3 linked regions of the Ovis aries genome follow. The protein of the gene in region 1 interacts with the protein of each later gene in a biochemical or structural test. Links are inferred from orthologs where the notes say so. Each region holds a gene or a part of one and is shown in the gene's direction. Other genes may lie near its edges. The genes, in order: UBE2D1, BIRC2 and RNF168.

What was found.
Region 2: the proteins of UBE2D1 (region 1) and BIRC2 form a complex in vitro, tested with the Homo sapiens proteins (11 studies listed by BioGRID). The link is inferred for Ovis aries from reciprocal best matches to the Homo sapiens genes UBE2D1 and BIRC2.
Region 3: the proteins of UBE2D1 (region 1) and RNF168 form a complex in vitro, tested with the Homo sapiens proteins (3 studies listed by BioGRID). The link is inferred for Ovis aries from reciprocal best matches to the Homo sapiens genes UBE2D1 and RNF168.

Annotation. Positions count from the first base shown.
Region 1 is NC_056075.1:305,094-308,600, reverse strand, and holds the start of UBE2D1 (ubiquitin-conjugating enzyme E2 D1), read left to right. Parts: upstream 1-707; 5' UTR 708-901; coding exon 902-925; intron 926-3,507.
Region 2 is NC_056068.1:6,033,028-6,043,686, reverse strand, and holds part of BIRC2 (baculoviral IAP repeat-containing protein 2), read left to right. Parts: 5' UTR 1-56; coding exon 57-957; intron 958-1,050; coding exon 1,051-1,150; intron 1,151-5,656; coding exon 5,657-5,735; intron 5,736-6,338; coding exon 6,339-6,387; intron 6,388-10,659. UniProt on the Homo sapiens protein: Multi-functional protein which regulates not only caspases and apoptosis, but also modulates inflammatory signaling and immunity, mitogenic kinase signaling, and cell proliferation, as well as cell invasion and metastasis.
Region 3 is NC_056054.1:191,842,694-191,853,352, reverse strand, and holds part of RNF168 (E3 ubiquitin-protein ligase RNF168), read left to right. Parts: intron 1-189; coding exon 190-311; intron 312-2,036; coding exon 2,037-2,118; intron 2,119-4,807; coding exon 4,808-5,767; 3' UTR 5,768-10,659. UniProt on the Homo sapiens protein: E3 ubiquitin-protein ligase required for accumulation of repair proteins to sites of DNA damage. Acts with UBE2N/UBC13 to amplify the RNF8-dependent histone ubiquitination.

The DNA of each region.
Region 1 (3,507 bases):
AAGAGAGATCTTAAAATCATTATCATATACATAAAAACAAGGAAATAATTTTTATAGAGCATTTTCAACATATTAGGTAGTGTGTTTGGCACATCATATTAATATCAGTTAATTCTTACAATAATATATGGAGATTATTTTTCTTTGGACACGCAGAAACTGAGGCTTAGAGAATTTAAGTGCTACAAGGTCATACAGTGGATAGGGATCAGAGCTTGGATTCCATCCCAAGAGAGGGGTCAGTCCACAAACCCCACGCTTCTCCGGCTATGTTGGGTGGCCTTCCAGTTTACGGGAGGACACTAGGTCTGTCGTCTAGGAAGATATTAATGGCGAGAGGTCTGAGATTGGAACTCTAGGGCACTCTAACTCTTGATAAGAGGATTTGGTAACAGAAAAAGGGAAGATGAAAAAAAAATTACAAGATGTAGCACACATTAGAATCCGGTACATGTTTTTCGAGCTAATTTGTTATTCTCATTTTACAGGTTGGGAACTCCAGTTTCAGTTACTTGATCGAAATCCATCTGCAGAGACTAACCCAGACCTGGCAGTGGGTGAAGGTCTCCGAACCGGGCAGCGGCCGAGTAGGATGCAGGAACTGCATTTCCCAGTACGCTTGGCGGGAGGGGGCGGGGCCGGGCGGCCGCAGATTCCTTCCCAGAAGCAAAAGCGGAAACAAAAGAGTGTCGCCGGCGTCCCCGCCCGCACACTCGCACACTAGCGCTCGGGCTCACTCAGAGCAGGCACCCGCGCCCAGAGCTAGCCAGACAGCAGCGACCCGGGAACCCACCCGGCTGAGCCAGCCGAACAGCCGGCGATCCGAGCCCGCACTACCCCACGCCCCCGAGCCCTGCAGCCGTCCCCCGCCGGCCAGTGTCCCAGCCGCCCTCCCTGACCGATGGCGCTGAAGCGGATTCAGAAAGTGAGTGCCGGGGCCGGGCCTGGGGCAGCGGGGCGGGCTTCGGCTCGCCGCGCACGCTGACCCCAGTGGTGGTCCCGAGAGACGCGCCGGGAGGGAGCGTGCAGGGAAGATGGGCTAGGGCGGGGACCGGGGGCCAGAGACGCCGGCGGGCCAGCGGGCACCCGACAGGTGAGGTGGGAGCAGCGACAGGTCCCGGGTGCTGGAGGTGCTTGGAGGCAGGGGGCCCGATGTGCTCTCACGCCGGAGCTGCGCCTGGGGATCCCTGGCAGGAGAGCTGCTTCTGTCTCCAGACCTCCAGACCTATGTGCCGCTGGGTCACTGGATTTTGCCTTACACCCGGCTAGCTTTGGCCCTTGTCATGCTGCTTTCTTCATGCTGTTTCTGAAACCTGTCCTCTTTTATGATTTTGCCTTCCCCTGCTCCCGGGAGGGCATGGAAGGTGTGGTGGGCCTGCAACCTTCCTCCGCGGAGCTGTTGGGTTTGTTCTTTCTCTCCTCTGCGGTTGGCTCTTGCTCAGATGCCCGAATGGGCTGGAAAAGCCCATTTGGGACCGAGAAACCAGGAGAAGCCTCCTGCCCCTTCTATTTTGGTGCCTCTGCTGCTGCCACTTGAGGTCACATAGCTGTAGTGAAAACATAGTTGCTGATACACAACAAGATGACCTCCTGGCTGTGATTCATGGTGAGTCAAGCCAAGCAATTTTTTTTTTTTTTCTCGCCATGATAAACTTATATGTAAAGTTTGAGACACAACAGAAACTGTCACAAATTAGATAGTTCCATGCTTTGACACATGGGTATAGAATGAGGAAGAAATGTTTATATACATTAAACAAATATGTTTCCGTCCCAACTCAGTGTAAGGAATTGTTTTCTCATGAATGCTTTTTGCTACCGTCTCTAATGTGAACATGTTACAGACCTGAGATTGGGGCGTTTTCTTTCTGTTCACTTTTGTTTCTTGTTGGGTTATTTAGTCTGTTCCCTTTCACAAGCTTTAGGCTTTACTGTTATGGTTCATGTGGAGAACATTGAGAATTTGTTTTTTTAATGAGAAATGCGTTCAGCAAGTTAAGCCAGAGATGGACAGCATGTTTTCTAAAGGATTTCAGAAGAAATACTACCAAAAAAAATTTTTATCAACTTCTTCTGGCACGAATCAATAAGGCAGTGATAGGGAAGTATACATTGTATTCTCAGTTACCATTGATGTCATCTTCTGGTACAGAGGACAGCAACTTTCTGACCCAGCCAATTTGGTGGTGGTGGTGATGGGGAGGGGTCAAATGATCCGAGATCTGAGAAATACTGTTATTTTTTGTGCCTGTTAAGGTTACTCTCACGGTAAAGCACATAGCTAAAATCAGCATGTGTTGATTACTATGTTTTCTGATTTGAAGATAATGCAGTTACACACTTTTTTTCATATACATGATTCTAATTTTGAAACCCCACTCAGCATCTTTGCCATGCCTTGTGTACTTTTAAATGATGATGTAATGTTGGCTCACATTTGAGGTAAACACACATTTTCCAAGGAAGTCTTAAAATTCCATTTCCTTCTTCCCTAGTTGTAAGAGTTTTTTGCAAGACTACATGTATAGTAGCTTCAAATAGTGTAAAATTTGTCGACAGTAAGTGAACATTCACAGAAAATGGACACTGTTAAGTGTCCTGGGCAATGTATCAGTCTCCTTGCTGAGCCAATGTCTTTGGCTTGTATTTATAATATGGCATATACCCAAATCATATTTTTAGTCATTATTAGTTATTAGTTTATAACAGAGTTGTCTGGTTAAAAAAAAAAAAAATTGGATATGACATAGCATCCCATCTCTGTGTGTCAATCTTTGGCTCCCCTTCTCTGTTACCAAAAAAAAGTGATTTGTACAGATCTCTTTTCCATTGATCACTTGTTCAGACCACTCTCAACTTTAGGAAGTATTTTGTTTGATTCCCCACATTTTCTCTTTCTTTACTACCTTCTTGATGAGAAGTGAATTCCAGGGGAGGTATGCTGTTTGCCATGTGAACAGTTAAGTTACAGAGCCCTCTTTGATATCATCAGTATATAAATTCTTTTTGAATCTTCCGTGCTTCAACAAAAGAATCCATGTTATTAACTTTTGGCCTCTCTTTTAAAATGTATTAAAGTAACACTGTCAGATAAGGTCATTGGGTTGCGATTTTCCTGGGCCTACAGTGGCAGGCTTTGGAACTGTGCAGAACCTTAAAGTACTTTCAAGAGTGAAAGGCAGGGGAACAGCTTCTAGGGTAGTACATCAGAATCAACCATGGGACATTTCAGACCATCCCCACTGCTGTAGTCCATGGGGTCGCAAAGAGTTGGACACGATTGAGCCACTGAACTGAATGAACCATTGCTGTAAATGGAGAGATGCTGGTGAGTCCCTCAGATGGGCTGCTGTGGAAGAAAGGTCATGAACCACTGACTGACATTCTAGTCTACTCACTGTTGTTCAGAGAAGGAGCTTGAGGTTTCGAGTGGAGTGCTTTGTCCAAGTTAATCTCTTAAGAAGTGATTTGGCGTGTTTTAAAAAGGTCATGACTTCACAGTTTTTC
Region 2 (10,659 bases), on another chromosome or scaffold:
AAGAGAAGAAAAATTTCATGTAAAGGATTTTTGCTGTCAAAAAGTAAAAATCACTCATGCACAAAACTACCTCCCAAAGACTTGTCCTGGATCCCTCGTATCGAAAAATTAAGAGTGTGATGGAAGATAGCACAGTCTTGTCAAATTGGACAAGTGGCAACAAACAAAAAATGACATACGACTTTTCATGTGAGCTCTACCGAATGTCTACATATTCAACTTTCCCCACCGGTGTTCCTGTCTCAGAAAGGAGTCTTGCTCGTGCTGGTTTTTATTATACTGGTGTGAATGACAAGGTCAAATGCTTCTGTTGTGGCCTGATGCTGGATAACTGGAAACAAGGAGACAATCCTATTGAGAAGCATAAACAACTGTATCCGAGCTGTAGCTTTGTTCAGAATCTAGTTTCTGTTACTAGTCTGGAATCCACTTCTAAGAATGCTTCTTCTCCAATGAGAAACAGTTTTACTCACTCATTATCACCCACTTTGGAACATGGTAGATCATTCAGTGGTTCTTATTCCAACCTTTCACCAAACCCTATTAATTCTCGAGCAGTCGAAGACTTTTCCCCACTGAGGACTAACCCCTACAGTTATGCCATGAGTACTGAAGAAGCGAGATTTCTTACTTATCAAATGTGGCCATTAACCTTTCTGTCACCGTCAGAATTGACAAGAGCTGGCTTTTATTATATAGGACCTGGAGACAGGGTAGCCTGTTTTGCCTGTGGTGGGACGCTAAATAACTGGGAACCAAAGGATGATGCTATGTTAGAACACCAGAGAAATTTTCCCAACTGTCCATTTTTGGAAAATTCTCTGGGAACGCTGAGGTTCAGCATTTCCAATTTGAGTATGCAGACACATGCAGCTCGCCTGAGAACATTTATGTACTGGCCATCTACTGTACCAGTTCAGCCCGAGCAGCTTGCAAGTGCTGGTTTCTATTATGTAGGTAAGAGAATGTATAGCTGTATGTTTTATCTAGTTCATTTTGATTAATATATTAGAACACGTGTGTATTCAGTTATTCTTGTGTTTTCTTTAGGTCGCAATGATGATGTCAAGTGCTTTTGTTGTGATGGTGGCTTAAGGTGTTGGGAATCTGGAGATGACCCATGGGTAGAACACGCCAAATGGTTTCCAAGGTAATTGTTTTGAAAGGTATTTGTATATACAACTCTGTGTGTAAAAGATGTAGGCATGTTTGTGTATTTTAAGTTTACATTTCAGTATAAGAAAGCTTCTTTATACCATTAGAGAATTAGCCTTTTAAGACACCAAATTGTAACAGTTATTTTGGTAGAAAAATGTAGAATATTCTGTGATTTTTTTCTTTTATAAACCATGTGTTCAGGATATAATTTAACTTATTCTTGATGCCTCATTCACAGTTGTGGCCATACATTACATTTATGTATTTTCCATTTTGTTTAAAGTATTATAAAAATATGTAAAGTAGAGCAAAAAGGCGATACATTAGGAAAAGATAAGGAAAAAGAAAAACAAGGGACATTAAATGAATCTAGGAATAGGACAAATATAAAAATGCATATAATAAAAACCTAATTGTATAATCAGTTTTAAGTGATTATAATTGTAAATTATTTTTTTCTGTACAGTTTTATCTTTTTGTGATATGTCATGTATCTCTCTTTAGTCACTCTGTTTCTACCAGTATGTCCTATTTTTTTTTTTACTATAGCCTGGAAAGAATTTAGAGGCAGTGCTGTGGGTGGAATGTTATTGAGTAGTTGTATGAACTTGGACAAGTCATGTGACCCCTTTGAGCCTTTCCTCATCTATAAAATGAGGAATTTGGAATAGGTAATACTGTCTTTTTAAAAAATTATAAAATGTACATAACATAAAATTTGCTATTTTATCCATTTTTAAGTATACAGTTTTGTGGCATTAAGTACATTCACCTTATTCCTCATTCATTACTACTGTCAATTTCCAAACATTTTTTATCTTCCCAAACTGAATCTTGTATTCATTTCATTAATTCCTTATATTCCCAGCCCCTGGCAACCACCATTCTACTTTCTGTCTCTGTGAATTCAACTATTTTAGGTACTTTATAAGAGTGGAATCATATCATATAGATAATGTTTCGACTGGTGAGTGACTTTCCTAATAATGAGGAATCTCTAAATTTTTTTTTTTTAGGAAAAATCATGTTTTATTGTCATAATTGTATTTATTTTTGGCGTCTCTGTGTGGCTTCTGGGATCTCAGTCCTTATTCAGGGATTGAACCTGGGCAACAGCAGTGAAAACACCAAGTCCTAACTACTGGACCACCAGGAAATTCCCAGTTGTCAGAATTTTAAATGACTTGATTGTCCTTGGCTCTACGAGATTGGCTTATTCTGTAATTTGGAATTTAATACTATATTAAAAAGACAAAAACAGCTTTCTGATTAACAGTGTTTCATTTGCTATAATTTTTCCTTTAGAAAACAAGACCAAACAAAATCTTGGTTTACTTCTGTAATTAGTGTTTTGCTTGAAATGGTTACATAAGGGAAAAGGCCAGAAGTACTTTTTGTAAACACTTCTGAAAACAACAAATTTCAATTGTGGATAGTCTTTCATCTCAGAAAATGAAAATCCAAAGTGGATAATCATTATCATTGTATTTTTAACACAGTTTATTTATTCACTTATTAAATATTTGTATGCCTACTAGCTACTATTTTACTTCTGTTATTTCTCTCTCTTTTTTAAAAATTATTATTTTTTCTTTTTTTAAAATTAATTTAATTTTATTTTTTTAATTTTAAAATCTTTAATTCTTACATGCGTTCCCAAACATGACCCCCCCTCCCACCTTCCTCCCCACAACATCTCTCTGGGTCATCCCCATGCACCAGCCCCAAGCATGCTGCACCCTACGTCAGACATGGACTGGCGATTCAATTCTTACATGATAGTATACATGTTAGAATTCCCATTCTCCCAAATCATCCCACCCTCTCCCTCTCCCTCTGATGTTATTTCTCTCTTAACATTTTTATTCATAATCATTCAAAAGAATTTCCTTTTTCATAATTACTAATATTTACACGACAGTGTGGAATCAAATGAAAAGTCAATCCAAAGCAAAACGAAGAAGAACCAAATTAAAGAGAAAGGCAAAAATTGTGGTACTGTTATTACATATGAGGTTGAAACTGGTAGATAAAGGCTGATTTTGCAGCAGACCAGTAAGAATACTGGGATCCTGTTGATTGAGCATGATAATTCATGATAGTCACAGCATTATCTGGTGGCAAGAGTCTTAGGAATAAGTAGTTAGAAGTAACAGTGGAAAATCATGATGATCTTTTTTTCCCCCTTCTAATATCATTTTTTAAAAATTGAAATACAGTTAACATACATAATATGTTTCAGGTGTGCTGTGTCCTGATTTGATGTTTGCATATATAATGTTGTTACCATGATAAGCCTAGTAACCATCTGCCCCTATACAGTTATTGCAATATTGTTGACCATATTAAAATTTTTTTTTTTCTTTGAAGTATAAAAATTGCTTTTGGCTTCCCTTGTGACTCAGACAGTAAAGAATCTGCCTGTAATGCAAGAGACCTGGGTTTGATCTCTGGGTGGGGAAGATCCCCTGGAGAAGGGAATGTCTGCCCACTCCAGGATTCTTGCCTGGAGAACTCTATGGACAGAGGAGCCTCGCGGGCTACAGTCCATGGAGTTCACAAAGACTCGGCCACGACTGAGCGACTAACACTTCAACAACAAAGTCATAATTGCTTCTAACCACATTGTTTTTGCTGTATGTATATTATGTCCCCATGGCTTATTTATTTTATCATTGAATTTTATATCTAAATCACTTTCACCTATTTCCCTATATGCTTGTGAATACTACTTTAGATGCTGGAGATATTAACAGTGAATAAGATACGACAGAAATCTTAGTCCTCATAGAATTTATTGGAAGGAGGAAATATGGAGCAGCCAATGTTCAGTATACTTCCTATCTTTAATCATTATAAGTTAATCCCAGAATAAAAATAATTTAGACCTATATTAAGATCAGGAACAAGCTGTGTTCTCGGCATGATGACTTGAGTCATGAGCATGTTTACATGATCTCTACTAAATCTACCTCAGTCACCACCTGAAGGACATTGGGTTGTTTCCATTTTGGAGCAATAATGAGTAAAGCCACTCTAAAAATTAGTAAACCTTTGTGAACTTGTTTTCATTTCATTTAGGTAAATACTTTAAATACTTAGAATTGGGATTAGTGGGTTGGATGGCAAGTTTTATTTACCATTGTAACTTTAGAAGAAACTACCAGATTGTTTTCTGAAGTGGCTGTATCATTTTAAATTCACACCAGGAATGTATGAGACCTCCAAGTATTCCAGATTCTTAATGACATGTGGTAGTATCTTTTTTATTTTAGCCATTCTAATAGATGTGTAGTGGTATTTCACTGTGATTTTAATTAGCATTTCCTTAGTGATTAATGATGTTTATTTGTTGTCTATATAAGTTGTCCCTCAGTGTCAGCAAGGAATTGGTTCCAGGACACTCCCAGGGTTTCCCCTCAAGAAACCAAAATCCATGGGTGCTCAAGTTCCTCATAAGACATAGTAGAGTCAGCCCTTTGTATCTGTGGGTTCTTCATTCTTGGAACTGTGTTTTCTTTGATGAAGTGTCTCTTTTCAAGAAGTTGTTTTTTTTTTTTAATTGCTAGGTTTTGAGAGTTCTTAATGTATTCTAGATACAGGTTCTGCATCAGGTGTGTTCTGGAACATTTCAGTCTGTGACTTTCTTTTTTATCTTTTTAACAGTGTATTTGATGAGCAGGAGTTTTTAATTTTGATGATGTCAGTTTATCAATTTATCTTTTATGGATTATGCTGTTGGTTTATTAGCTAAGAAATCTTTACTTAACCTAAGGACAAAAAGATTGTCTCCTGTGTTTTCTTCTAGAAGTTATATTGTTTTAGGTTTTGTATTTAAGCATCTGGTCCATTTTTAGTTTGTTTCTGTGTACAGTATGGACATAGATAAAGGCTAATATTTATGAATATTGAGTTGTCTATGTCCATTTGTTGAAAAATCAAAAGGGAAGAAATAGAAACAAATGTTATATGAACTTCCTGGAATAACCATTGAGAAATTCTAGTAATTTGAAAGCAAGTATTTGGGAAACACTGTCACAGTATATATAGATGAAAATACTTGATACTCTATTTTTTTAGGGGATTTGTGCTTTCTGTATAATGGAAGAGTGGACAGTGGAGAAAGATTAGCAGTCATTTTGTGAAAGATCATATTTTAGGCATACCACATTACAGTTCCTGAAACTTATGTTAAACTCGCAAAGTAAATTGTCTGGAACAGCATTTTCTAAGTCTTAGCTTTTTCTCCTTTGAGGTCCAGACTCCTTTATTGTTGTATTAATGTAATTAAAAAAATCAGAATGTATCAATACATAGTAAAAATTTGTGATGTTTTATGAGAATTTTGTTTCTGTTAGGTGTATATGTGTACTAGGTTGTGATGTAAAATGTTTGTACTATGGGATATAGTCCAAGAGTTTGAAAACCGCATTTCTAGAATGATCAGAGTATATTTTTGGCATAAAAGAATTTTAAAAATTTTCCTTTTATGTTTTAGGTGTGAGTTCTTGATACGCATGAAAGGGCAGGAGTTTGTTAGTGAGATTCAAGCTAGATATCCTCATCTTCTTGAACAGGTAAATATGTTTTTATAATTGGCAACATTGGATTCTCCTAGATAACAATTACAAAATATGATTAAAAGTGATCTTTATATCTTTTTAAAGTTAATTATAGTTATATGTTTTATGTCCATCTTAATGACACTTTTAAGTTTTATTTTCAGACTACCTTGTCTGTTCATGGCTTTTAAAAACTATTTTTTAGTTTTTTGAAAAGTCACATAACCTGCCCCTGTACAGATTTGTGGTAGGGTTGGAGAAGAGTCTTTAGTATCTACTCCGTCTTTTTGAGAAAAATAAACAAAAAATAACTTTTTAGGAATTTGGAACCTCAGAGAGTGGTTAAGCTGAAATACAACTTTCTAAGTGGAATGAGAAACCATTAATACTTTTTCCTGCTTTCCTGATACTTAAATTCTAATATGGAATTAACTGAAGTTTAAGGAAATATTTTATGGTGATTAAGATAAAGCATAGCAAAGTGCAGTATGTAAACTACCCAGTTTTCAAAGCATGTGCATAGTACTTAAGATAAACTTACCTTAATGTTGCTATGCTCAGATTGTTTGAGATTCTGGATTTTACCTTTTTTTTTTTTTTTTTTGTCCTGTTTCATAGCTGTTGTCAACTGCAAATACTCCTGGAGATGAAAATGCTGATCCACCAAGTATGTATGAAAATATCCCGAATAAAGAATAGGATTTAAGAGTATTGAAAATAAAAGTTTGTATATAAAGGATTTCTAGGGTTATAGAAAAAAGTGCTAAGAAGTTAGCTAATAAATATTATGTACGTTTTCTATCCTCTAGAGAAGGGAATGGCAACCCACTCCAGTATTCTTGCCTGGAGAATTCCATGGACAGAGGAGCCTGGCAGGCTGCAGTCCATGGGGTTGCAGAGAGTCGGACATGACTGAGCGACTGAGCACATACACACACATCTATCTTCTAAGATTCATGACATTTTTAGAGGATTCTTGGAAGTATTCTAGTTTTTGTTCTTAAAGTGCTTATATTCTAATTGGGGAGACAAAATAGGAATACCAAATGAGAGGAGCAAATAGTAAGCCCTCCAAAGAGGGAAAATTTGGTATAAACTATCATGTTTGGAAAGGGCCAGGTTACATGATTTGAGAATTGGGCTAGAAAAGTATTTGCCTGGTATGTAGTATTTTAGTGCAAGGGTAGGAAATACATATTCTGATTATAGTTTATAATTTTAGCTACATCTGGCATTTAGTGTAAAGTGTTATTTAGTCTGCTGTTACCTTAGTAACTTTCTGTCTGGATGATCTAACCAGTGTTGGGAGTGGGATATTGAAGTTCCCTTCTATTATCATATTCCTCTGTATTTCTCCCTTTAGTTATGCTAATACTTGCTTTGGATATTTAGATGTGCCAGTGTTGTTGTTGCATATAAGTTTACAATTGTTTTATGTATTCTTGATGAGTTGACCCCTTCATCACTGTGTATAGTGATTTTCTTTGTCTCTTAGCACTAATTTTGACTGAAAGTTTATTTTACTTTATGTAAGTAGAGCAACTCCCCATCACTTTTGATTATCATTTGCATAGAACTTTTTAATCTTTTCACTTTCAGCCTTTTATATCTTTCCGCTTCAAGTCTTTCTGTGTCCTTAAAGCTAAGGTGATTCTTTTGTAAGCTGCATACTGTTAGATCTTATGGGGTTTTTAAATCCATTCAGCCATTCTGTGTCTTTGATGGAGAATTTAGTCTATTTACATTTAAAATAGTTACTGATATATAAGGACTTTTTGCTGTGTTTTTGTTAATTGTTTTCTATTTTTTTTTTCTTTTAATTCCTTTGTTCATTTCTTCTCTTGGCTGTCTTTATCTCTGACTTAATTTCTGTAGTAGTGTACTTTAATTTCTCTATTGTATTTTCTGTATCTACTGTAGGTTTTTTCTTTGTGTTTACCATGACGCTTACATAAAATATCTTACAGATATAATAGCCTGTGTTAAGCTGATAACAACTTATCTTCAATCGTTTAGAGAAACTCTACAGTTTACGTATCCTTACCCCATGTTTTACACTATTGATGTCCTACTTTATATCTCTTTTTATTCCGCATCTAGTAACGAATTACTGGAGTTGTAGTTGTTAGTATTGTTTTTTATTTTTCTGTATTTTTCTATAGTACTCCTTTTTAAACAAAATTTTATTGAAATATAGTGGATTTACAGTGTTATGTAGTTTTAGGTGTACAGCATAGTGATTCTGTGATACTATATATTCATTCTTTATCAGATTCCTTTCCCATATAGTTTGTAGTAGAATATTGAGTAGAGTTTTCTGTGCTATTCAATAGGTCTTTGTTGGTTATCTCTTTTTTATATAGTAGTGTGTGTATGATAATCCCATGCTCCTAATTTATCCCTTTCCCCAGAGTTTCCTCTTTGGCAGTCATAGGTTGGTTTCTGAAATCTATGAGTCTGTTTCTGTTTTGTAAGTTAATTTAAATCATTTTTAAAAAACATTTAGATATCCCATATGAGCAATATCATATGTTTGTCTTTCTCTGTCTGACTTAGTTTGTTAATCTCTGGGTCCATTCATGTTGCTTCAAATGGCATTATTTCGTTCTTTCTTTGTGGCTGAGTGAATTCCATTATATCCTCTGTCAGTGGACATTTCGGTTTCTTCCATGTCTGGCTGGGCTTTCCAGGTGGCTCAGTGGTAAAGAATCCACCTGCAAAGCAGGAGGTGTGGATTTGATCAGTCCCTGGGTTGGGAGGATTCCCTGGAGAAGCAGATGGCAACCCACTCCAGCAGAACTTTTGCATGGGAAATCTCATGGACAGAGGAGCCTGGAGGACTACAGTCTATGGGGTCACAAGAGTTGGACACAGCTTGGTGACTAAACAACAATGTCTTGACTATTGTAAATAGTGCTGCAGTGAACAGTTGAGGTTTTTGAATTATGGTTTTCTGCAGATATATGCCCAGGAGTAGGATTATTGAGTCATACGGTAGTTACAGTTTTAGTTTTTTAAGAAACCTCCATACTGTTCTCCATAGTGGTTATAACCAATGTACATTCCCACCAATAGTGAAGGAGGGTTCTCTTTTTCTTCACCCCCCCTCCAGCATTTATTTTTGTAGACTTTGTTATTAGCTGTTCTGACCAGTGTGAGGTGATACCTCATTGTAGTTTTCATTTCTATTTCTGTGATAACTGGTGATGCTCAGCATCCTTTCATGTGCCTTTTGGCCATCTGTATGTCTTTAGATGATCTTCTGTCTCTTTTTGATTGGGTTTGTTGTTTTTACATAGAGCTGCATGAACTCTTTGTATATTTCGGAGATTAATCCCTTGTCAGTCACTTTGCAAATATTTTCTCCCATTCTGTAGGTTGTCTTTTTGTTTTGTTTATGGTTTCCTTTGCTGTGCAAAATGTATTACTATTTTTTTAACTTACACTAGACATACAATTACAGTATAGTGTGTTTTGAATTTGACCTGCATACTTAATTTTACCAGTTAAGTTTTATACTTTTATATGTTTTCATGTTATTACTTAAGGTCTCTTCATTTTAACTTGAAGAAATCATTTTAGCATTTTTTGTAAAACAGGTTTCATATTCATGAACTCTCAACTTCTGTTTGATTGGAATGTCTTTATTTTTCCTTCATTTCTGAAGGACAATTTTGCCAGTATTTGTTTTGCTGAAAGTTGTACTTTATTTTGGTTTCAAAGGATTCGTTAACAAAAGAAACTGCTTGTTACACACAAATAAGCAGTTTCAATATTTAATATTCAATAATTAATTTGGCTTTATTTCAGTGTACAGTCATTAAAAGAAAAGAAATAGAAACAGTAAGCAGAAATAATAGCATATACATCTCTGCTGCTGCTGCTGCTAAGTCGCTTCAGTTGTGTCCGACTCTGTGCGACCCCACAGACGGCAGCCCATTGGGCTCCGCCATCCCTGGGATTCTCCAGGCAAGAACACTGGAGTGGGTTGCCGTTTCCTTGTCCAATGCATGAAAGTGAAAAGTGAAAGTGAAGTCACTCAGTCGTGTCTGACTCAGCAACCCCATGGACTGCAGCCTACCAGGCTCCTCAATCCATGGTAGTTTCCAGGCAAGAGTACTGGAGTGGGATGCCATTGCCTTCTCCAATATACATCTCTACATTGGGCCAATACCCACGTTAATCTAGTATTGAACAGTGCTGGAAGTCCCATGTAACAGCAGTCTAGAGTCCTAACTGGGAAAGGGTCCTGTCAGTACATCCACCACACAGGCCAGACTTCAGATTGCAGCTTTGGGAGGTCCTGCTTATGATCCTAGGCCACAAACTGATAACAGTTTGCATGCAAAAATGCAGTTCAGGTTTTTCTTTAACTTTTACAATGCTGTTTGTTTCATCTTGTGAGTCATAAAGTTCTTTAGACTCTGGGGGCCTGAGTAGGTTCCCGCGGCTTAAGAAATTCTAAGGCTGGATTTCCCTAGTGGTCCAGTAGTTAAGAATCAACCAGCTAATGCAGGGACACCAGTTCAATCCCTGGTCTGGGAAGATTCCACATGCTGCAGAGCAGTTAAGCCCATATGCTATAGCTACTGAGCCCGTGCGAAACCTGCACATTGCAACTAGAGAAAGCCTGTGCAGCAAACAGACCCAGTGCAACCAAAAACAAATAAATGAATAAATAAATAATCAAACATAAAGTACTCATTAAAAAAAAATCCAAGACCCACTCCCTTTCTTACCTGAAGTGCTGCTTGACTTGCTGGTAATGATTGATGTTCATGCATGCAGGCAGGCATGTAGTCCAGGCAAGGTTAGAAGTCGGTTAGAGGTATGCTCCCCTACTTCTGAAGCCTGAACAAGACTACCTTCATTTTTAATTTTCCAGTGTTCTTGGTTGGCATTTGTTTTTCTTTTAGCACTTGGATATATTAAGTCTTTC
Region 3 (10,659 bases), on another chromosome or scaffold:
ATTTAGACCAACTTAGATAAATTTATTAATCTTGTTTATACTAATTTTTGCATGGCCAGTATTATTTCACAGGATATATAGAATTTAAGCATAATGAGCATAATTCCTGAAAAATTCTATTGTGGATTCTGAGTTAATTAATAGCTTATTTTATTTTAAAATTGTTTTATGCTTTTTCTGTTGTCAAAGAACAATTTCTGTGAGGAAAGTGTTTTGGCTTCGCCTTTGAATTCCAGAAAATCTGATCCAGTCACAACTAAATCACAAAAGAAAAGTAAGAACAAACAAACAAACACTGGAGATATTCAGAAGTAAGTGAATATAGAACACTGCTGTATCAAAATTTGGTCCATCAGCTCTGCATGAAAACCCTCTAGATTGTCTGACATTAATATAAAGTGAAAATAAGAGAGATGCTCACATAGCTTACATTTCTGGCTAACATGAAGAGAAATGTGAAACTTTTTTTTATCTTGACTGCTTAGGATTTCCATGTTGGTACCATTTTCTCAAAATCAATCTGTTGGATTCCTTCTTCTCTTGGTTTGGATTCAAATGAAAAAAAAGTAGTCCAATATAAGGTCATCTTCATTGAAAGAGTTTACAGTTTGGCATCTAGATCTTACCCCACTCTGTTTTTCCCAGTTTATATATTACTTTTCTTCCCTACTGTACAAAAAACATGAGTCAGGTAGTCAACAGTAGAGTGAATTTAGTTGCCCCACTGTGCCCCTCTTAGCAGCAAGACAAGTTGATAAGCTTTCCCATAGTAATTCATAGTCGAAGAAGTTTATCAACTACAATCTAGACTTCAAAAACATGTAAGGGCTTTTGGTTCAACTAGATAAATATGTGCAACTGATTTACCCCCTTCCAAAATTCATAGAAATTTAGGATTTGAGATAGTGGAAATTTGAGACAGGGAGATGAAGATTTATAGGGAGAGGGCAGTGTTAAAAGAGGTGGTTGCTATTAAGAGAAAAAGCAGACATGTAGCCTCAATATTGTTAATGCTGATATTATGTAAAGTAGAAATCAAGAGAAAAGCCATTAAAAGAGAAAAGCAGGGATATTTCAAATTGATATAATATTATTCAGCATAAAGGATATAGGGGGCTTCCCAGGTGGTGCTATTGGTAGAAGAACCCGCCAGCCAATGCAGGAGACATAAAAAGGGACAGGCTTGATCCTTGGGTCAGGAAGATCCCCTGGAGAAGGAAATGGCAACCCACTTCAGTATTCTTGCCTGGAGAATCCTTTGGACACAGGAGCCTGACAGGCTATAGTCCATAGGGTCGCAAAGAGTTGGACATCAGTTTGAGAAGCAACTTAGCATGCACACACATAAAGGATATAATTGTCATAAATCTTCATGAATCTAAATATATACTTTGAAATATATAAACAAAAATGTATCACAAATACAAGAATAAACTGATGCTTAGATAGAGACATGCTCTTATGCTAACATATTGATAAATCTCATATCTCTAAGCAGATAGTTGATATAAATTTGTATGTAATAAAATCTCTGTACCAAAATGGTAAAGAATCTGATCATGGACCATTTTTCAGAGATAAAAAGTGTAGAATTTCTGACATTAAAAAGAAACTAACATATTCTTTCTCCTAATTTAAAGTGTCATTTCCGTTACTTTTGGAAAGACTGTACAGTCTTAGGTTGTTTTGATGCCAGGACCTACCTATTTAGATTCTTTTGAGAATTAAGGAATAATTTAAATTTGACTTTTGCTTCCTTTTCTCCTGTTTTTCACTAAAATATCAATACTCGGACTTTTAAGTTTTGTTCCAGAGCTAGACCAAAATACCTGAGACAGGGAGATAAAATAGCACTTTTTCTGAGAAATAAGCCAAGTAGCAAGTGAGACAGCTTTAAGCATAAATAGCTAATCTGGCTTTATTTCATTGGATACATGCCACTTGTGTTTCAAAGCATTCAAATTTGGCAAACTTTTTTTTTATATATATGTATATTTTATTGAAGTGTAATTAACTTCGAACTCTTTTTTCTAAAGGTATTTGTCACCTAAATCTCAACTTGGGTCAGCATCACAGTCTGAAGTTGCACAGGAAGACAGAAAAAACTCCATGTCTAAGGTTTGTGGATGCTAAAGATATTCTTGGCTTGGCAAGTTTATTAATGGTATAGATCGTTAATACTTATAGTTTCCTACTTTTTTTTTTTAAAAGTCACTGTAGTAAATGGAATACACCTTCTTAATCATCTTAGTCTCACCTAAGCTAGGAGTCAGCAGATTTTTTTCTCTAGAAAGCCAGATAGTAAATATTTTAGGCTTTATAGCCCAGGTGGTCTCAGTCACAACTATTCAGTGATTTGTTTTCACGTGGAAGCATCCAGAATAAAATGTAAACAAATGAGCTTGTTTTTGTTCCAGTAAAACTGTTTACAAGAACAGACACCAGGTTGGATTTTGTCCATGGGCAAAATTTGTAGATCCCTAACCTAGATCATCAGACTCACAAAACTAAATAGGCTACCCCTGGTACCAGCTTCACTTAAAAGATAACAGAATGGGAAATAAAGCGTGCTAGTAGGGCAGCATCAGGCATATCTGTTCAGCAAGAATCCTCACTGCAGAGCTCCTAAGTGATGGCCTGGAAGTGAGACCATGCAGAGGAGTGTAGTCACCATGAAGATTTAGAAGTCCCATGCCCCATAAGAGTCAATTATTTACTGTAACGACTCATGGGAGTAGCTTCCAGAGGTCCTGGTAAGGAACACAGCCAGTCAAAGAGTTCTAAGTCGTTTACCAAAGCCCTGAACCTTGGCTTCCTGTAGGGGGTTAAAGATCCCTCCTAGGTCTCCTAGTACAAATGCAGTTCAACAATAAGGGTCATTTTTATCATAAGCTATGAGGTCTAGTGACACAAGTGACATTCCACCTCTATCATATTTCCAGGAAAATAGCACTAGAAAAAATGAGCTGACACCAAGATCAATGCCTACATAGAAGGTTTGTTAACCAAAGTTTTGTTAATAGGTTCATAAGTTTTTTTCAATTCAGGTAGGTGGTTTTATAGTACCTAACACTTAATGGACATTTAGGTGCCCAAAAATGTATATATTTTCTTTAATCTTCATCACAACCACCAATTCTGTAAGGTATCCTTGTGTCCAATTATAATTGAGAAAACCGAGGCATGCAGAGGCTAGAGAATTGCTCAGAGTCCTGTGAAAGTGAGAGTTACTCAGCCATGTCCAACTCTTTGTGACCCCATACACTGTACAAATCCATGGAATTCTCCAGGCCAGAATACTGGAGTGGGCAGCCATTCCCTTCTCCAGAGAATCTTCCCAACCCAGGGATCTAACCCAAGCCTCCCACATTTCAGGCAGATTCTTTACCAGCTGAGCCATAAAGAGTCTCTTAAGTAGAAGTAATAGAGGGAAATTCAAGTCCAGATAGTCTGGCTTATGCTGGGGCTAACGATTGATGGAAGGAGGCATTGAAGGCTGGGAATTTTTTTCTCCCTATCCTGATATTAATACTCACAGCAAAACGTGGTAGGCAGTTTAGAATTTGTCCAACCCAGACTACATTGGTTCACAAGAAATGTTATGAGGAACAATAAATGCAAAGCAAAGTAGGTAAAAGAACAGAGTTAAGATCTTGAACAATAAATAACTTGTCTTGAAGCAAATTCTCATTGAAGCCTTTCTTAAGGCTTTCCCATGGTCAAAACTAATCCTAGATCTTAATTTACCCAAGACCTGTAAGTGAGAAGAGTTACACTGGCTAAAGCAAGGGTTCTTAACCTAAGGTCTGTGGGTAGAATCCATAGAGTAAATATGAACCTGGATAGAAGAAAAAGTTTATCTTCCACCTGACCTCTCATTTTAGTGTTTCCTGTAGTCATGAATCGGAGAAGGCAATGGCAGCCCACTCCAGTACTCTTGCTTGGAAGATCCTATGGACGGAGAACCCTGGTAGTCTGCAGTCCATGGGATTGCTGAGTTGGACACGACTGAGCAACTTCACTTTCACTTTTCACTTTCATGCATTGGAGAAGGAAATGGCAACCCACTCCAGTATTCTTGCCTGGAGAATCCCAGGGACAGGGGAGCCTGGTGGGCTGCCGTCTGTGGGGTCGCACAGAGTTGGACATGACTGAAGCGACTTAGCAACATAGTCATGAATATAAGCAGCAAACCATAATACTGTCAACAGTACCTGTGTCTTTGTCACCAATAACATATTACATTTGTTGTAGATCTCTTAAAACATTTATACTCATCCCTCCTTCAGAGTTACAAATTATTAGACTTGTTACTAGATCTTATTATTTAATGTATTAATGATATGCATTATTATATCACAAGATTTTAATAATTATGTTGCAATATAAATTGATCCCTATGTATTTATTTTTATGTTTTAAAATATTATTCTCAGAAGAGGTCTGTCAGCTTCACAAAAATGCCAAAAGGAAGAGGGTTTGTGACACAAAAAGGTATTAAAAGTCCCTGGGTTGGAGGAAGTTTAAAAGATGAAAGGTCAAGTCATGGTGCCAGCTGCTGGCCATATATAAAACTGGCTTGTGGGTTTTGAGCTGTAGGTTTTCATGGGAGTGAAAATGAAGAAATACCTTAAGTTGGCACACAGAATAAAAATACTATTAAAAACTAATATATCTTAGTAGTAGTGATAATCAGGTAATTATAGTATATAGTGACAACTCAGTTTTGGTGTCAGTGTAATAAGACTTATATGTTATGACTTGATGGTTTCCCTTGGTTCATTCAGTCTTTTTCTGTTTTCTACAGAAAATTGACGACAACAGTGATGTGAAGAGCCCTACATGGCAAGACACAGATGTTGAAGAAGATATGCCAACGCTTTCTCCTCAAATATATCTTGCAGTTCAGGAAGAAGATGCAAAATCTTCAGTGGAGTCACCTATGCCTCAGTTATGTACCAGTGGTGGAGAATGGTGCCTTGAAGGAAAAGTTGAAACAGGACCAAGCAATCGTGAAAAAGGGTTATGTGTCATAAGTCTCGAGGAACCTAAAGCCAGAGTTCCCTACTCTGGAGATGCTGCCACTGAGGCACGTGGTGAAACAGAGAGTGAGTGTACTGTAACAGATACGACACAGTTCCTTAGAAACAACACGGTTGGGACAGAAAATGAAGAGTCCCACCTACCGATCAGTAAAGGTACCTCCAAAAGAAGAAACCTAGAACCTTTGTCTGAAGCAATCAGAGAGCCATGCTTTTCTGCAAAAAGAAAGAAAACGTTCCCCAAAGCCTCCTCAGACCAAGAGGAAACAGAAATCAGCTTGACCCAAAAACTGATAGATTTGGAACATCTACTTTATGAGAGACATAAGCAAGAAAAGCAGGACAGGTTATTAGCATTACAACTTCAGGAAGAGGTGGATCAAGAGCAAATAAGGCCAGACCGGCAAAAAGGATCCCCAGATGGATATCAGCTACGGACTGTGTCCTCACCTCCAGACAAAGTACTAAATGGACAGAGAAAGAATTCCAGAGACAGAAACTCCAAAAGACAAACTGAGCTAGAGCAGCCAAAACCTCAGACCGACTCAAAAAATGAAAACCATCGGCAACCTTCTTTTAAGATCCAGTTGAAATGTTCAGTTAATGGAAGAAAGGTAGCAAATTCTACTAGAGATAATTGTAATGTACCTAAAACTGCTCATTCCCTACAGCCTAGTAAGTCACAGAAAAGTATTTTTCAGATGTTTCAGAGATTCACAAAGTAATGCTTGAGTAAGAAGAGTATTTTATAATCCAGTAAGGTTGAGTTGTAAAGCTTTCTATCATAGGTTCTTTATAAATTTTTCATTATCTCTGCTCTGTGGACACACTCATTGTCTCTAACTAAAGGAGCATGTGATTACAAAGGAGAAATATACAAATGTGTTTCTGCCAGACTCAGTTGTAAGCAAGAGTCCCACTCCCTTCCTTTTTCAAATAACTGATGTACTAAGTATAGGTTGACAGCCTTTACGGATATAAAATTGCATATGCCAACTCCCAGGAAATCTTCAGTTCTGTGCATTCCCCCCCAAATGCATATTTTATGGCCTTTGAGCCCCTTTTTGTCCTGACTAGTGATCAAAGCAACATTAGTACCAAGTAGCTAAGGGATCCAGGCAGGGTTTAAAAGCTGTTTTCTTGCAGCTTTCCCATATATTTGCAGAGCACTTGACATACATCTTCCATAACACTAATTTCCATCTCTGCTTTAATTAAGTATTATAATATTTTCTTTGACTTAAAATGGGTTGGGGTCAGTGTTAAATCAGAAAAATCGGGGTTTTCTGGAAAATTAGTACTTAGTTGACAAAACTAGACTGTTGATACAGAGGAGCTTGTTTTGGGATGAGGCTAGAGGGGTAGATGAACAGTGTGGGATGATCAGACCGCTGGATCTAGAATGGAGTAGCAGGTGTAGTCTGGCAGAGTGTTCTTCCTCGTCCTTTCTTTGCTGAATGACACAAGAAACATTTAGATTTTATAGTTTTACACACCATACTATCTAATCTACTTTTCCAGAGGAAAAAATGGAAAGTTATGTCACAGTATCCTATATTGTAGAACCTGACTAACCATGTGTTTATTTCCTTAGGTTATTTGTGTTTATGGACAAAAATAGAAAGGATGATACTTGGGTTTAGCCCTATCTTACCCCGAAAAGTTAAAAAGGAAGGCAGCAATTTCATTTTATGAAATTTAACTTAGAGATCTTTTGTTTCAGTAGTATGAACAACTTTGAGCAAATAACAGGTTTAACAGCATTTCTGATGGATGTCTAGTTAACCATCCTATTAAGGTAATGACATAATAAAATGTCCTAGAGTTAATAATTGTAGTTTAAATTTATCAGTGCTTTTGGACATTGATTTTTTTTTTCCTCCAAATTTTGTAACCAAAATTCTGTAATCTGCACCTGATGGCATCTCCTTCGATATTGATTAATTATGGGTAGAATCCTGATGCTAACTTAAAATTTAGTTTGCCCTTTCTCAAAAATGATTGTCTCCTGAGTAATGATTGTACTGAAATGAAGTGTACTTAGAAACTAACCAAATTTTTCTAAAGTAGACTAAAATCTTTTCATCAAACCAATATTTTTTAAGACCAATTTTGCTTTACCTTTTAGGGATTCCTCAAATAAAAGTTATACAGTTAAATCTTCCTGGAATAGTCCATAACCAAAAAGGGAGAAAAATAGTATAATGTATTTAGGATTTACATATATAACCACTTATTTGTCTGTGAAAAGTCTTCCTGACTAAAATTGGTTTTAACACAAATTTTAACTTCTTAGTCTTTCTGATACTCCTAGCATGTATGCATCTTTGTGAGAAACTAGTAAATATTTCGTGTCATTAGAATGTATTGATACTTTTCCTTCCATTTTTGTGGAAGGGATATGAGAGTGTTTAATTTCTCAAGGAGTGCTAGAACTGTGCAGAGGCTGAAAATCTGAAAATTAAAATAATTATTAAAAATTAAAATGGACTATATGTTTTATCACAGTTAAAAACTAAAACATGAAAATAAGTTATATGTAAAAACTACCATAAAGGAAAACTGGAAGACATGGAAGACTAGGGAAAAAGTAGATACAGTTCACCACAAAAAGCTAATTTCTTTTTATAAAAAGTGTCTGCCAGTACATTAAGAAAAAGACTAACAACTCAAAAGAAAAATTAGAAAAGTTTATGTTCCCAAGAAACAGTTCTCAGGAAAGGAAATACAAATGGCTCTTGAATGTGTGAAAAGATGCATAATATCACTTATACCAATGCTCATATGTTTTTCTATCCTTCATTAGTAAAGATAAAGGTGCTTTTTTGGTTTTGTTTTTATCTGTGTATAGGTTTGTTTGTTTTTTTCCAGTCTTGGCAAAACTGTAGGGAAATAGGCACTCTTATATGTTGCTTGATATGATAGAAAATTTTAAAGCCCTGAAGAGGTAACCTTGGCAGTTTACCTCTAGTAATTTCTTACTGTTTTCACACATATGTATAATGGCATGCACAAAAGATTTTTGTATGGTATTGTTTATAATAACAAGTTAGAAACAACCTTAAGCATATCAAGAGACAATAAATGATGGTAAAACGGAATACTATACAGCAGTTAGACAAAAAAACCCGACTTTACTGTTATTAAAAGCACTATAAGATATAGAGTAAACAAAAAATACAAGTGTAGAATAGTGTGCAACTATTTATCCAAAGAAGAGAATTGAGAAACCTGTATGCAGGTCAGGAAGCAATAGTTAGAAATGGACATGAAACAACAGACTGGTTCCAAATTGGAAAAGGAATATGTCAAGGCTGTATATTGTCACCCTACTTATTTAACTTATATGCAGAGTACATCATGAGAAACGCTGGGCTGGATGAAGCACAAGCTGGAATCAAGATTGCTGGGAGAAATATCAATAACCTCAGATATGCAGATGACACCACCCTTACGGCAGAAAGTGAAGAGGAACTAAAGAGCTTCTTGATGAAAGTGAAAGAGGAGAGTGAAAAAGTTGGCTTAAAGCTCAACATTCAGAAAACGAAGATCATGGCATTCGATCCCATCACTAAATGGCAGATAGATGGGGAAACAGTGGCTGACTTATTTTTCTGGGCTCCAGAATCACTGCAGATGGTGACTGCAGCCATGAAATTAAAAGATACTTACTCCTTGGAAGTAAAGTTATGACAGCATATTAAAAAGCAGAGACATTACTTTGCCAACAAAGGTCCATCTAGTCAAGGCTATGGTTTTTCCAGTGGTCATGTATGGATGTGAGAGTTGGACTGCGAAGAAAGCTGAGCACTGAAGAATTGATGCTTTTGAACTGTGGTGGTGGAGAAAACTCTTGAGAGTCTCTTGGATTGCAAGGAGATCCAACCAGTCCATCCTAAAGGAGATCAGTCCTGGGTGTTCATTGGAAGGACTGATGTTGAAGCTGAAACTCCAATACTTTGGCCACCTCATGCAAAGAGTTGACTCATTGGAAAAGTCCCTGATGCTGGGAAAGATTGAGGGCAGGAGGAGAAGGGGACGACAGAGGGTGAGATGGTTGGATGGCATCATTGACTCGATGGACATGGGTTTGGGTGGACTCCGGGAGTTGGTGATGGACAGGGAGGCCTGGCGTGCTGCTGTTCGTGGGGTTGCAAAGAATCAGACAGGACTGAGTGATTGAACTGGCTGAAGAGAGAAAAATAGTATTGCCAGCAGGGAAAGAAACTGGGTGGCTGGGAGACAGAAGTGGAAGAGTGAGTTTAGATGTTTTTCTACTTTTTGAATTTTCAATCATGTTGAATGTATCATCTACTCAAAACTTAAATATTATAAGATTAAGGCTATTTATGCATCTAAGCCTATACCACTCTAGACAGTTCTTTTTTCCTTTAAATTCTAAGAATCATAATTTAGGAAGAGTTTTCAACATGAAAAGTTAACCGTTTTCGCAAATACCATTGTGAATGAATATATTTAGCTTGAATGTACTATTTTTAAATTATCTGAGAAGCAAAGCTTATGCTTTTCAGGTAGCAATGCTGTAGACCTGCAGTCTTGCTGAAGACAATGAGAAGAGCCAGATAAAAGTATACAGTGTTCTACTTAAAAACATCAGAAAGCTACTGAAACAATGAGGACTAAGTTAGGGGCTAAGATTCTAGAGAGGGGAGACCTGAGAGGTGAACTGATGCTTGAAACCCTTCTTCCACTTGTAGTGTGTGCCTATTCTGAATGCAGAATGAGAATGAGGACTTCTGGTGAACAGGTCTGCTCTACTGGCAGAACTCTTGGCCAGCTCATGAAGCTGGAGTTTTTAGAGACTTGAAGGTCATCATCATCAAACACAAGTTACACTTTCTCATCAAGATAACTACAGTTTTGAAACTGTTAAGAGCAGAGGCTAAAAGGCTAAAAACCTTTGAAAAGCAGAGAGGAGTCATCAGGCTCACACTGCAGATGAGACAGAACAGAATTCAGGACCTACCAGAGGAAGGAAGCTTGTTGAACAGACCAGAAGCCTCAGCTGAAAGTCCCCCAGCACAGAAGTCTGTGGAGCCAAATCCCAGGAGCCAAATCTTCACTCTGCAATACTCGGAGGACCTGTGAATGGCTTTAAACAGACTCCTAGAGGGACTTATCTGGTGGTCCAGTGGCTAAGACTCCATGTTCCCAATGCAGGGCACCTGGGTATAAATACTTAAAACTAAATAGCTCTTAGATTCCTTAGTTCACATATAAGGAACTGAACTGTGGGAGTAGTAATTTGTGCATGAATTTTGGACCACCAAAAGAAGGGGCGTGTGGTGCAGGAGGGAAGAAAATAATGTCCTTCTTAACTTGGTCTCTACCTGTATGACCTTAGGCAAGCTACTTAATCTGTCTTAATTTCTAAACAGGAATCAATGTAACCAAGAGTTGCTATGGAGAATTAAGGGAAGTAATAGAGCAACTGGCACAGGCCCTGACTCAACAAAGAACCTTAAACGATAGTGTCTCTCCTGGCTCTCCTCCAGTCCCACTACATCCAACCCCACTATTGGGAGAGTCAGTTATCCAGTGACTTCGTGTACTCTTAAGTGCCCATGTATAGCATCCAGTAAAGTGCAGTTGCCTT